Linked DNA regions of Mytilus edulis. The protein of the gene in region 2 interacts with the protein of the main gene of each other region in a pairwise test. Links are inferred from orthologs where the notes say so. Each region holds a gene or a part of one and is shown on either strand. Other genes may lie near its edges.

What was found. The genes of interacting proteins can lie anywhere in the genome.
Region 1: the proteins of putative E3 ubiquitin-protein ligase UNKL (region 2) and headcase protein-like interact in binary tests that used the Drosophila melanogaster proteins (3 or more experiments, as listed by UniProt). The link is inferred for Mytilus edulis from reciprocal best matches to the Drosophila melanogaster genes unk and heca.

Annotation. Positions count from the first base shown.
Region 1 is NC_092353.1:78,627,255-78,634,696, reverse strand, and holds headcase protein-like, read right to left. Parts: upstream 2,904-7,442; 5' UTR 2,697-2,903; coding exon 1,236-2,696; 3' UTR 581-1,235; downstream 1-580. UniProt on the Drosophila melanogaster protein: Required for imaginal cell differentiation, may be involved in hormonal responsiveness during metamorphosis. Involved in an inhibitory signaling mechanism to determine the number of cells that will form unicellular sprouts in the trachea.
Region 2 is NC_092352.1:14,752,330-14,760,257, forward strand, and holds the start of putative E3 ubiquitin-protein ligase UNKL, read right to left. Parts: upstream 3,067-7,928; 5' UTR 3,034-3,066; coding exon 2,948-3,033; intron 2,859-2,947; coding exon 2,649-2,858; intron 2,436-2,648; exon of another isoform or gene 1,812-2,435; coding exon of another isoform or gene 1,801-1,811; intron 1,522-1,800; coding exon 1,220-1,521; intron 1-1,219. UniProt on the Drosophila melanogaster protein: Essential for late larval/early pupal development.

The DNA.
Region 1 (7,442 bases), on a different chromosome or scaffold from region 2:
TTTTAATTTCTACCAAACTTCCAACATTCAAGAAATGCTCTGCGATCAGGTGCGGATCAAGTATTTTGAAAAAAGAGGAAAAGTCTACCAATCCAATTTTGTAGTGAGTCTTGTAAGAAGTCTGCATTTATCATATATGAAGCTCCATAAAAGGGGCCTCCCCTACAATCCGACCTCTGGTGAATGTAGTTACATTTCAATTTTCCTTCACAATACGTGTGTGTGTGTTTGTGTGTCTGTTTATGTTCCTGTAGACGGATAGAACGAGAGTGGAAACGTACAAAAACCTTTACAAATTAGTGCTCTAGATCTGTTTTAGCCTGCTCTGATACTAGTATATTAAAACCTTTGTTGATTTTTAAAGAAAAAATACAATACCACATTGTACCACGCTCCAAGGAAATCATAAAGCATGATATTGGGATACATACATGTAGTGACAATTTAAAAAAAATAAAAAAGATATACAACTTTTTTCGAAAGTCGGTTATCCTGTACAATATGCTCATTCAGAAATACTGAACCAGATATAAAATCCACAGAGCGTGAAATAACCACAAGCTACATATCAATTCCAATAAATAATTAAATATTTATTCCAAAAATAAACATATGTAAGAAATGCCATTTCTTTAGTCTCAAATGAAGCAGAAAACGTCATAAGCACATTCTACACGTAACATGTCTTTGCATATTGAATGTCTTTAAATTCATTAAAATAATCCGGTTTCACGCAAAACGTTTTGTTCTTAAATTTAAAATGTCACCCAAATTAAACGTCTAGAGTTATTTGAAATATTTCCTATAAGTTTATAAACCAAATTGGAATTTTATTTAGTTCTGCTTCTTAAAACTAAGAATAGTTCATAAACAAATGATGGATACAAACTCAGCGAGGACACGAGATTAAATCTCTAATGAAGTTTACACAAAAATTACCACATGTCGTATATGATAACGTCTCTGGTAAAAAAAACATGTCTGCACCAAAAATCCACAATGTAGCGTAACATAGTCAATATGGTCCATAAACTAGTTCTTCCAGATATATGAGGAACAATCCCATCCATTCAACGAGACTTGTCGATCCATCTGCGAAACAAATTATGACACAACAGTGTAAAAAGTTCAAGTAAAACGGTAAATTGCTAAAGTTATATATAAAACAAGTAAAAGGCAAATATATTTATATATACGCGCGGAGTATTGTTAACAGAATAAAAGTTCTAAGCAGTTTAGTTCCATATACTCTGTTTTGCTCTAACATTGAAGGCTTCATTGAGCGGTCGTATAAAATGAAAGTCGTACGCCTTGCAGTAAGGACACGCAATCATCCGACTGTATTGACTATAAAATGTCAGACCAGTGTTGACGTCTACAACTGCTCGACGACACTGCTTGCATGTTAGCCGCTTCTGACAGCATGGCGTAGCAGCAAATATATCGTAAGTATACATAGTTCCAAGTTGAAGTGCGCTCCCGTCCCATGGGCATTTGCATGATGCACACCGAATATCTGATCCCTTTTCAAGGCACTGTACGCAGACGGCGTTGATAAACTGCAGACGACCATCGGAGATGACTTGTACTACTCCATCGCCGTAAGCCTGAGGTGACAAGAAGAATGTTCCGTCAATCATAGGGTACCTATCAAAAACGGGTAAGCCGCTCTTACATATAACACAGCTCAGCGAGCAAACCTTGTACGATGTCAAGTGAGAAAGTATAAAGTTCCTGGTATCATCCGTACCATCGTCGTCCATCTTGATATGGTATGGATTCTGTTTATGCCTTGGTAGAAAGGTGAAGGCAGACAGATCTTGGCGGCGCCGAAAGGAAGTGTTTGCGTTAAACGAGTGGACATCTACGGTTTTCGGGCTTTTTGGGAAAGCCGGTTGGTTCAGGTTTCCATTAACAATAGGGGATGACGGCGTCGGTGATGACGAGGATCCAATAGAACCAGAAGAACGCGGTAGACTTCCACTGCTACTGACGCTGTCAGTGCGCGAGCGCTGTGTAGAAAAAATATGGTTCGTGTTGCTGACATGATTGTTGTAAGACGTGTTGTTATTGTTGTTGTTTACATTTGTTGTGTTGATAGGTGCACTGTGAATGTGGTTGTTGTTATGGGGTATGGAGGTAGAAGCATGTCCCCCTTTCCCGTTACTCACCACAGGAGCCGGTTTATCGTTCTTCTTCTTCGGTTTCTTTTTGTTTTTGTTGTCGACAACAGCAACTTGTGGTTTTGGGAAATAATCCAGATCCTTCCGTATATGTCCCCTGCCACATTTGCAATCACAAGCCTTGAAAGCTAGGTCGTAGCCTTTCTTTGTCCACAAATTTTGCAAGCGTTGTTTTTCGCTCCAGCTTCTAGCGCGTCCACACGAGCGTAGATAGGACAAAACCGTCTCCTCCCATTCCTCGAAACAATCCTTGTGCATCCACTTACTGAAGTCGCATGCTTCATTATTGCAGAACACTTTCACAGACTTTTCAGGCTCCTTTGGATTAATCAAATCCTCGGGTGAAGTGCATGTTAGAGGCACACAACACTTGACAAGTTTGGGACCAGCTCTGTTGTCATTTACTTCAACAACAGGCGCCCTCGTTTCTGCGGCGGCTTGTACATTGTTATTTTCCACATCTTTTTTAACAACGTTGTGCAGTTGCACCTTTTGGTGCTTCCGGTGCGGCATGTTTCTATAAATCCACACAATTCAAATGTTCAATCACTAAATATTGTCACAGTATAATCTGTATTTACCGGTTAGTTTTAAACGTGCTAAAAGTAATGCCGGCTTTTACATCCAGTTTATTATTGTTGACAATAACGTAGAACTGCCTACTTTCGTTTAGAACAATAGTTATGATTGGTTAGAAATGCGGTCAGGAATTATGATTGGTTGAATGAATAATCTATGACCTTAGACGCAAGATTGATTATTTTGTTAGAAGTACAAGCATTAATGGTGTATTTTTATTTCTACGCGTTTGTCATAAATAGGTCGAGGACGTTTGTAATCTTAGTCGGTATTTTTCAATAACAATTTTATATTTAAACATCTTTTCTATCAATAGTAACGTAAAGTGTATAATTTTAATTTAGAATGAATCTGGGTTAGGCCTTGCTTTGAGAAATAAATGCAATTGGGGAAAAACATACAATAGAAAGTAAATCGATTGTGCAGGGAGGCATGTAACTTTAAAAAAAAATTTATTTGTAAACAGCTTGCTGGGGTTACGCACTACTAACAAAGGCTTCTTTATATTTTATTGATAAACATCAAACTAGTGAATAAGGAGAGACCTATTTTATTTTAAAATAACTGATGATAAACGTACTTTATTAAAACGCATATTTTCTCGACATTTTTTTTACGATACTATGATCATATATGCGTATAAAATAGTAAAAAGCTATATGCTTTTGCTTAACAAAAAATATTTTACACACTGCAAATCATATCTGAATGACTCAACTACATTAAAAAGGACACAACAATTGTATAGAGTGACTGATAAACAATATCAAAACACAAAAATGCATACTGAGATTTACAAGTGCAAACTCGGGCGAAATATAACAACTGATATTTTGCCAAAATTCTTAATTATGCCATCTAAACAAAACACACGAAACATCATGAATATTTAAAGTGCAGACGCATGCAGCTGTTATTGAAAATCGATTAAAAATTATTATGTAACACCGAGATTGATGTCACCCAGGAACTCTGAAATTAAAAGACAATTTGTTAGAGGTGGGAGGTGTCAAATTATAGAGAATAATCGTCGGTAAAATATTCACGGATCGAGGCGCTATATGGTATTAAGTCGAATATGATACGAGTCAATCGAATTCTACTGTAGCACATACAAAAAGGGGTATATCATATATTATGCGTTCACCCTCCTTGATTGGAAAATGCACCATTTTTAAGCATTAAATGAAAATCGTAACCCCCCCTCCCCCCAAAAAAAATCCAAACGATAAAAACAACCAAAATTAAAAACATACTAGCGCTGAGGGCCGAGTGGAATTCGTCAATATTGCCCCCATTACAGCGGCGGATCCTGCCATTTTAAAAAGGGGGGGGGTCCTAACCCAGGACAAAAGGGGGGGGGGTTCCAACTACACCTCCCCATTCAAATGCATTGATCGTCCAAAAAAAGGGGGGTGTCCAACCCCCGGAACCCCCCCCCCCCCTCTGGATCCGCGCTGTATTAAGGTTAAGAGGGAGTTAATTACCATAATAAATAAACGTCCCCTCATTACACCTACTTACTAAAGTGATCAAAACATCTCGAGAGAAAGTTAGTGTAACAAAGTCTGGTTGTTTCTTTATTTTGATTTCTTTATTTTCTTATTGAAATTGAATGCGGCCTTGACATCGAAAAAGAACCGAATAACTACTGTCAACCCTAGATCATTTAAAGACAAAACAAATACAAAAAGGCATTGTCTTTTTTTGCGGTAAACAGTTAAACATTTCCGTTCTAAACTTGTTTACAATACATAAAAATCGGTATAAATGAGTCATTCGAAATAGTCTAATCAATGAAACAACGGAATAAATGTATTTTCTATGTTGACTAAACATGGTAAATGGTCTGTTCTAAAATTATCCCTGTGTATTGATTTCTTTTTATTCAAAATGAAAAGAAATGTTAAACTTGATGGCGTCGTTACGGGATACAAGACTCTTAGCGCTTACTTCATTAATTGAACCCATATATAACTCAAGCAGAATAAAGATAAAATAAGATGTGTTTTATGAATTCCCAATAAATGAAATTTCCTGTGCCTTGATTCTGATTAAAAGTATAGCGTGACCCAGTCACATAACTGACCGAAGACATAGATATTTCCGACATTATTAACAATATTGGATTTGTTTTTTACATTGATCTTTTCAGACGGTTAATTATTTATTTTTGTAATAAAGATCGTTTATTTTGGTATCAAAGTACATAAAGAGAATCAGGTATTGAGATTGTTACTTAGGTTCAAATAATATAAACCCATTAAAACAAGAAAAGTCCATTCTTAAAAACATTAGAATAAAAGACAGCTGTGTTAAAATATATTTTATATTCCTTTATTCCTGTTTTGGAAGAGGACCTGCAGATACGGGTGCGCTAGTAAGAAATTTGAAAAGGAGTTTTGATCGAGTAAAAAAACCAGGCAGGATGAGGCACTTTGCCAAAAAAAAAGGCAGGATGTCATTTTTATGTAGAAGTCAGGATGAACTAATAACAAAAGGCAGGACTGGGTAGAGTGAAAAATGAAAAGGCAGGACAGAGATTACAACAATCTAATTAAAATATTGATCTCTGATTACGTTATACTACATATAAGTCATAAGTAGTATAACGTAAAACACATATGTAGTATAACGTAATCAGAGATCAATATTTTAAGTGCCTGTCTCAGATAAATCCATGCAAAGTGATCCAGAAGCAAGGTTACAAGATCATCTTAACATTCTGTTACAAGGAAGGTCTTATCATATAATAATTTTAGAAAAAAAAAAAATCCAAAAATTTTCAAGGATTTACCTTATAAAGGGCTGTTTCTAAAAATAGAATTTCTATCAAGATTAAAGGTTAAAAACATGCAATTTTTGATAAAATAGACATTAAAAATACCTTTAATGAATATTTTGTAGGCATTTTAGTATGGCTTTATCATAAATATGAACCAATATAAAACTAATGATTATACTTATGTTGACCTCTCAAATTTCCTTTTAAGTGCAGCAAGGTCACCAAAAGGTCAAATTTCAAATTGCATGGTTTAGACTGAGACAAACACTTAATTAGATTGAGATTACAACTAAAAAACCACCCAGGACATTTGTTTTATCCTAGCCAGCCCCCTTTTTCTCCCATACAAATCAAATGGTATCTACCTAAGTAAAAACAAAGTTTGAAAAACAAAATCACAACGCATGTACTCTGCAGTGGCGGATCCATAAATTTTCATAAGTGGGGGCCCACTGACTGACCTAAGAGGGGGCCCGCTCCAGTCACGCTTCAATGATTCCCTATTTAAGCAACCAAATTTTTTCCCAAAAAGGGGGGGCCTTGGCCCCCTGCCCCCCCCCCTAAATCCGCCTCTGCTCTGAAAGGATAAACATCTTCTACTCTACTAGAGTATACAGTCTGTCGTGTGATGTTGCTCATGACAGCTAAAAATCTGGCATACGGTGGTATTCTGCAATGTCATAAAGGAGGGAAGGATCATGGACTGGGGTTACAGCAAAAGAGAAGAGGGGTGAAATGCGGGTGCTTCTCTCCAAAATCCCATCATAGTTTTTTTGTTATGTTTTATCACTTCCCACTACCACTATCCAGTACCCACTTTTAAGGCTCGACATCCCACATTCCCATTTTTCGTCCTCTGTATCACACATCCACACTTATTTATCCTTATAATGTATGATCTAACATCATACAAGTGTGATTGCAAAAACTTAAAGTTGTAAAGCAAGCCCTTGAATATCGTACCAACTGGGAAATCTACACCATAAGAATGTGACTTAAATTGAAAGTATCAGAGTAATCACTTTCGAGGCGTAGCCGAGTTATTTTTGCGTAAAAACGGTAATTGAGGCTGAAAGTATCGAGTTCAGTTGAGCATGTCGAACAATCAGATTAACCTTTTGTCATCAATCAATCATCAATTAATACATTTATTAAAATAGCTGATGCATGAAAAGTCGGTCGAATAACAAAATCATAATTAATATATTAGACAGGAGAACATAAATAACATTACGTTTTTCTGTCTTTTTTTATGCATGATTATGTTGTTTATTCTATAAATTTCCTCCTAATGTCAGTAATATAACATGGCATAATGTATAATTTAACATCAAGGTTGTACAATTATCTTCATTATTTATTAGTGCAATTTACCTATAACGATGTATTTTATGTATACATATGTTTGTGAACGAAAGACGATAACAACTTTGCACATTATTTATAACATAGACTATTAAACGAAATCAGACAGTGTAAAAGTGTCAAGGAGAAAACCGGTTGAAACAACTTTCGCTTTCACTTTTTTACCTATAAAATTTTAAAATGTTTAAAATATTCATAAGCATATATGGAAATCTTATTTTTCTTTCCTGGATATCAGATGTTGATGTTAGTGTTACATAAACATAAAAAAACGCAATGAATTGTGATTGTATATATCACAACTGACTTATAATTTTATTTTTCAATTACATCCATATCAAAACAAAAATATAAGGAATATAACATAGTGCAGAGAATTACAGTAAAGAACTATTTAACCAATTCCCAATTTCCCGACATGTACATTAAGTAAGCCTGAAAGCCTCATACATTTACCATAGCGGGTTTTTTAAAACGTTAAATGCTTAATACCCAGTGGCAAATATTGTGTGCATTTTTTAACAAAATTT
Region 2 (7,928 bases):
GTCAAGAGCTAGTTTAGCACAATGGACCGACTTAACAACTAAGGCCTGACTGATCTGAAATTCTGAATTGATAATGCAGTTAATGTTGAAACAATATTTATGTCAACCCAGCTCAGATCATTCAAATTGCATGAAAACACAGTTTGTATTCACCTGTAGCTACATAAAAAGCAGTACAAGTACTTACACTAACTATGTACAAGTTATGAATGGAATAAAAATTTTGCATTTTAAGAAATCCAAATTAATCTTCCTTCTTTAATCTGTCATTGTTTTGTATTCCATAAAAAGATATTCTTTACTTAGTGGCTTAAGGCTGATTAAATTTTTTATAGGTTATGATATGCTAGACAAGGATAATTCCTCTCTGCATGCATGAATGCAGTTCTACATGCACTTACATTAGATTTAACAAACAGTGAGGTTGAAGTGAACATGCTCTTACTGCATAAACTTGATGACATAATGATTGAATGCACATTTATGTTACTAATTAAAATCAGGATTATAAACAAAATTTATCCTTTTCTGAATATTGTCCAATGTACCACGAATTGAGGTAAAGTCGGATGAAACCTGTCAGTCGGACATGAACATACATGTACACATTACAAATTTTCTGGTCACCAAATTAATATAGTTGACATATAGATTCTTGTACATGTATCTGAGATATGGACTTGTCCACTTTACTTTTAGCCTTGATCACTGAGTGATCCATGGAATAAGGTTGAGGTTAGGTCAACCTTTTCATGATAGACATGTCAACCTTGCAAGGAACCTACATGTATATTCTAAATCTAGTTATATAATTTCTCTTAATAAGCATTGATAAGCAACCTTTTACTTACAAAATAAATGGGAAAATGTGTTCATTGAACACAAATGATGCCCCCTATGCTGCATATAATGTTATATAGGGATATAACTCAAGAACCGTGAAAGTGACTTTACCCAAATTTTGTACTTATTTACAGATCACTAGACAAGGGTAAAACTTCATGCATTAAAATGTGAAATTGGAGCCAAGGACAATGGACATATTGCAGACAGAAACTTTGAATCAAAAGGTGCACATAAGGTATGAAACATCCAGTTCAACCTCCTGAAATATAAAGCTTTTAATAAACAGTTTACAGCTTCACAGTTGGTGTATGGTAAAACCCATGTGCCATTTTCATGCATGGCAGGCAACAAAAATTGTTTCATTATAACTTACCATTCCATCTAGGATCTTCAGCTAAAATTTTATCCTTTTCTAAACTACTTGGTGTTCCTGATATAGAACTAGCATTGGAACTCTTATCACAACTAATATTTATGGTATCAATAGCTTGTAATTCTCGAACATCATAAATGGGTGGCCTCAAATCATGGGCACCATGTGCAAAGGCACAATGAGGGCCATTCTTAACACAATTTCCTTTGCTATCTGTCTCATAAACACATGTACCAGTCTTGTAATACCGAAGATGATAACGTCTTTCTGTATCTCCTGCAGTTCTGTGTAAGTATGGGCAACTGTAAAATATAATATAAACATATATTAATTAAAATAAATTAATTAATAGTCGTGTTTGAAGTTAACCAAATTTCAACTAGACAAAAGTTTCTATTCTACAGGCACATTGCCCAAATAGACAGTTGTGCATGCTCTGTATGACTGAGTATAAATATGTATAAACATAAATTAAATGCAACCAAAATATATAATGCACACATATGACTAACCTTTTAAAATATTGCAAAGAACTATGCAAAAGAAGCATGTGTAATTTAAGATCAGTTATTGATAATTACCTATCTGTCATAATGTCCCTGTAGGCAATTTGCAAGCAAAAATCTCACGATTATATTCCCTCTTCCAAATGCATTCTTTTTTAGTTTACACTAATTAAACATAATCCTCATCAACAGAAAGACCTGATTACAATGATCACCATTTCCTTTATATTGATTCTGAACTTGTAAACACTTTCTATAAATAAAATCTGGGTCAAGGCCAAGAAAAATTCTTCCAAATAACATCTACGCATGTCTTTTGTAACCAGCTGATTCAGTAATTTATTGTGTTATATCAAAACTAAGTCAATCACATTCTTTTAATCATGACAACTTATTTCTTGAATCATATATATTTGTAAATACAAATTCAGCTCTTGCAAAATCAATCTGAAACTTTTCATTCATTAAAAATAAAGATCTGCTATTTTAACAAAGGATGCAATCTGATATTCTAATTCTCACTAAAGTTCATTCAATTTAAAGGGGAATCTCATACACAAATTTTGCATTAATAACATTCTTAAAAGGTCAGACTAATACCATACCCTACTAAAGTCAATTAATTGTTCATTCAATAGATTATGGGTTAGTTTACAAACAATGACGGAGATGTAAATAGACGTCCGCCATATTTGTTTACAACATGTTATGCCATAATTAAAACATTTTAATGCTGAATAAGCGGTTTGCAATTTCGTGCACTTGCTATAAAATTTACCGGTTTCGAAGAATGGATCAACTTATACAGCTGTCATGTTTTGATTCTTAACTTAAGAAAGTAAAAGCAGGTTGAGAATTTCCCCCTGGGTTTCCCACCAAAATTTAAACATTTCGATATTTGACAGTTCTCTATATTTACTTACTCGTCACCATCTGGACAGGCTCCATTTGTCTCGTCATATTTTGTACAGTAGACATCAGGACTGTAATTGAACGTTCCATCGCGTTTTCGAACAGGTCTTCGTCTTCGTTGATTTAGAAAATGCCAATGGAAACAAGTAAAGGGTCGGTGTTGAGTGCATTTGTGTTGCAGAAAAAGAGGACATTGCTGTGTTCGAAATTCCTTCAAATACCTGCAATATATCGAAGACATTTTAACCATTTACAGATAAACAGAAAGACACACTAGCTGTCAGTATTGAGATATGAATCATTTACTCACAAATAATGCTGTGGTTTCTCAGTTTGAGCAGCAACCACCGGGCTTTCAGACGGCATTTTTGTTGTCAATAATGTTTTAATGCGCATTCATTCTGACGCAGATTCGCAAATTTAAGGCTTTTTCGATTGGATGATTCAAGACACGTGCTAAAAGTTATTGTTTTTATGCGCGCACCTGTCAAACTGAGAAAGTAAATAAACAAACGTGCTTAACGGAATCAAGCCTAAATGAGTTAAAAAAGATGAACTTGCAATATCTTTAAACGCATATTTAAATACTGAACGCACTATTTACCCATTACTTTGTTTATACTTAGTTTGATCCTGTGGAAGCCTTCCATGATTTGTATAGAAGTATATGTAATTCATTCAAATTAAAAAATGCTGACTGTCAAATCCTTAGCATATGGACTAGTAAAAAATATCGGGCATGGAACAACTGCAAAAACTGAAATGAAATATTAAAAAATAAAGTACCATGGTTATACACGTGAAGAAAGTGTGTCCCATTCTAATTTGCAACAAAAAAGTTAGTGTCCCATGTTACTTTACGCGTACAGTATATAATATACTGTCCTTCCAAACCAATGTGCGAGACAAACACATCATTCAAATAATACTGGCGTGTGGTTTTACTATTGTTGAAGCCTACCAGGTCACACAGTTTACAAGTCTAGTAACTTGATATTGTACCATATGACTATAGACATCAGTTTGCCAATATCTTTCAAAATATTTAATATTTTAATCAATATATATATCAGTTTATCATATGTTTAGTAGTAAATACAGTAGTTTTGCATATGTGATAAATAGCCTGCTGTGTAATCCATATCGCGCAACTTTGATGCACACCCTTTATCGCATACCCTTTATCACACCCCTACTTTTTTTTTTTTTTTTTTTTTACATAAAGTCTGTAACGTCGAGTTTTCATATTGTATGTGACGTCACGAACGTCAAGTTTTCATATTTTTTGGCACACTAAATGCAACTATGGAAAATACAAAACACACAAATTAATACAATAATAAACAAATTTTTTTTAAACAACAGCACGCAAATTGTAAGGTAACCCAGGTGCTTCGGATAAGTAATTGAGCAGTTCTTTTAAGGCCTTTGAAACGAGACAAAAGTAGAACTGAAGGTATTAACCCAGTGCTATGGATCAGAAAACAGTTCATATAATATAATACTCTTCTGTTGAAATATATGATAAAGCGTATAATACATGGCAAAATCCGTATCACATGCCGTATCACCCTCGACCAATATCATCCCTCGGGCCTAAAGGCCCTTGGGCTGATAGTGATGTCTCGGGATGATACGACATATGATACGGATTTTGCCATCATGTATTATTCTCTATGTAACATATACATGATATATCATTTTAAGTCTTGAAACTTCTTTGGCAAACGGGCGAATACGTCTTCATCTGTCTATTGTTCAACATTGGAAACTTTCTACAACTGAAGTGCCCTCCTTTTTGGAATCTGTATCAAAATCTGTGTAATAAGCTTCAATAATTAAATCTGTATACGGTCATTCTTTGTCAGCAGTATTTGTTTTCTATTTGGGTAGAACTGCGTGTGTTTGATTGCTTTGAATCACCTTGTTGGTTAAGATAGTAACTAGTGCTATTAAAATAATGCATGATTTTAACCCGATGATTTTTCTTTTCTGTATTTTTTTGTGTGAACCTGCAACAGGAGGCAACTGCCTTCATGCCTCTGTGTAATTTACGGCTGAGGAGTTCCAAGAGTAGAACTAATATACCTAAATCTAGGAAAGGATCGACATGTATTGCTGTTTATATTTTAAGTACTGTTGATTTTGAAGATAAATTGAATTTTGGTGGTTCTTTACTGAATTTTGGGTTTTAACTGTGATTCGATCATTACAGTAACGGAAAAAAATTGCTGTTAAAGAAGCGCAATTGGTACCCATAGGAGTGCATTCTTTTGTTTCTCGATTTCGCGTTTTCGCTTTCTCGCTTTTTCGATTTCTCTTTTTCCGATTTCACGTTTGCAAATTAAAAGGAGAAAACGTGAAAACACGAAAAGAGGAAATGTCCGCATCCGGTCACCATTATTTTGTGCTTGTGTTAGAAGTTTTCAGTTTTTTTCTGCATAAAATTGGTCCAAAACTTTTGATACTCAACTGCCTCTCCTTTAAGGGTCGGTAATTCACGTCCCTGGTCACTATTATTTTGCCTGTCCCAAGTGAGGAGCCTGTAATTCAGTGGTTTTACTTTGTTGCTGTATATCATATTTGTCTTTCGTTTATTGTTTTGTAAATAAATCAGTTCGTTATTTGTTTAGTTGTATTGCTTTATGTCATTTCAGGACCTTTTAAAGTTTACTATGGGGTATGGGTTTTGTTTTGTTGTTGAAGGCCGTATGATGACCTATAGATGTTTTAAACTTCTACGTCTACGTCATTTGGTCTCTAGTGGAAAGCTGTCTCACTGGCAATCATACATCATCTCCTCATTTTATATCGCTGCTCTGCTTGTAATCATTAAACTGTATGGGTCGGAACGACACGAATTGCCCCGCTCGCAAAAAAGTCATTTGAGGATTGGAAATTCAGTGTAACTGTTATTTGTATGACATTTTCAATGTCCTAAAATCAGCTAGAACCAAACGTAAACTCGATCTGTAACTCAGAATGGTAGACTCTTATACTAAAATAAGCTCAAAATGTGAAGGCGTTAGAAAAGTCCGTATAACTGTTGCAGAATGACGAATAATATAAGGATAATCTGAGACTACTATAACACATATGTTATAGTAGTCTCAGGGATAATTAACAATCTGTTTTAGCCCTGAAAATCAACTAATATGGTTATGAGAAAGAATGACTCAAATCACTTCAAATGATTACGGTCACCTCCACGAATTGGTTAAAGGTCAAATATATGTTCACCGATCTGACTAATTATCGTATTTGATAAACAACATTCTATAACGTAAATGTAAATTTGAAAAAAGAGTCTAAAATAAACATTTTATAATGCATGGGCTCGTTAATATGTATTAACATTTTGGTGTACATTTTAGTCAAGACGCCATCTAATCGATGTGATATCTGAAAACTACCGATGGCCATCTGATAGGAACATAAGAAGAGATATGAATAGCGAATTCGTGCACTGGGATTTGTCTGGTTCTGTTTGATTTCATAACCATAGGTTAAGATAAAATCGAGATTTGAAACGAGGGATGTGCCTAAAAGACAACAACACGACAAAAGAGCCAAAAAAATGAAGGTCACCAATGGGTTTTCAGCAGTGGCGGATCCAGAAATTTTCATAAGTGGGGGCCCACTGACTGACCTAAGAGGGGGCCCGCTCCAGTCACGCTTCAGTGATTCCCTATATAAGCAACCAAATTTTTTTCCAAAAAAGAGGGGGCCCGGGCCCCCTGCCCCCCCCCTAAATCTGCCTCTGTTCAGCACATCGAGAAAATTCCCCAACCGAAGGTGGGCTTCAGCTGGCCCCTAAATGAAAATGTATACTATTTCAGTGATAATGGACGCCATGTACTAAACTCCAAAACATCTAGATAAACAAAAAGTCATGGAAGATCTCAATCCTCCCCTATACCTCTAGCCACTGTAGAAAAACAAAAAACACACAGCAATATGCACAGCAAAACTCGGTTTAAAAGAAATCCGAGTCCGATGTCAGAATAGGTAACAAAAGAAACTAGGCAAAATGACAATAATACATAGATTAACAAAGGACTACTAGCAGTTACTGACATGCTAGCTCTAGACCTCAGTTAACCTGATTAAAAGATTATGTTTTCATCATAAGAAAACCAAGCACAATCTCCCCCGATAGGGGTTAGTATCATACCATCATAAAATATATGAGAAGAAAATAACCCGTAGCATGCCAACAACTGGTTTACGAATACATATGTTTATATCCGATGCAAAGACTCTATGAGTGAATCAATATTAATACCAAAATACGCCATCTTCAATGTCCTTACAACAGTATCGTAACTATATCCCTTCGTAATAAGTCTGTTGAAAGGTTTTGTAAGCTTTTGGGGTGAATGCCGACAGTTTTGTGCTTTGTAAAGAGTATTACCATAAGAGATTGGATGTGAAATACCTTCACGTATGATACAAAAAAATAGTCTGCTATTAAAGGGGTGCAACTGTTGCCCATAGGAATACATACAACCTGTCGACAAACTGTTTTGCCTAAACGTAAAAAAATAGTATCAAGGAGAAAATTAACAGCTTCGATCATCTCATCACATCTCCAATAAGTAAACTAGCATATTTACCTTTCTCATTAGAGAATAAGGCTTTTAATAAGTTGCAGTCAATATATTTGCATTCAGATTTACCAAACTACCATTTAATTAAATAGGAACACTTTTGTTTGTTAAAATTGTTTGAAAGTGTAGTGTAATGAGTTGAAAAGGTAAAACTGTCAACAGAATCAAAAGGACCACCAAAAGCACGTAATCTATCGAAATCATCCAAAGACTTTTTACACTTCGAAATAGTTAATTCTACTATGTTCATATATTTTATTACAAAAGTTTATGATAAGTTCTTTGATAGTAGTTAATGAACTATAGTTAAAAGCACTGACAGATTAGTTGTAGAACACTTACAAGAGGCCGAGATGAACCGATATTTGACGGGTTTGTTTTGTCTGTGTAGTTAAGGTAACCAATACATAGAAGGGACCTTCAAATGTTCGAAAGAAGTCTATAGCTGTGATGTGGTTACGACATGTTTGTTTTCTGTATAACTGTCGGTGGAGCGCACGGACTTAAATGTAGATGAATTTGGAATTTCACTCTTAATAGAACAATGTCTGTGTATTATTTACGGCACATCGCCACCACATTATTGGCTGCTATGTCGGCCGGTTTAAACACAAATCGCTTTGAAAGATCTTGAAGATTATGAATTTGCGCTTTATCAACATAACATACCAAAAATCATTG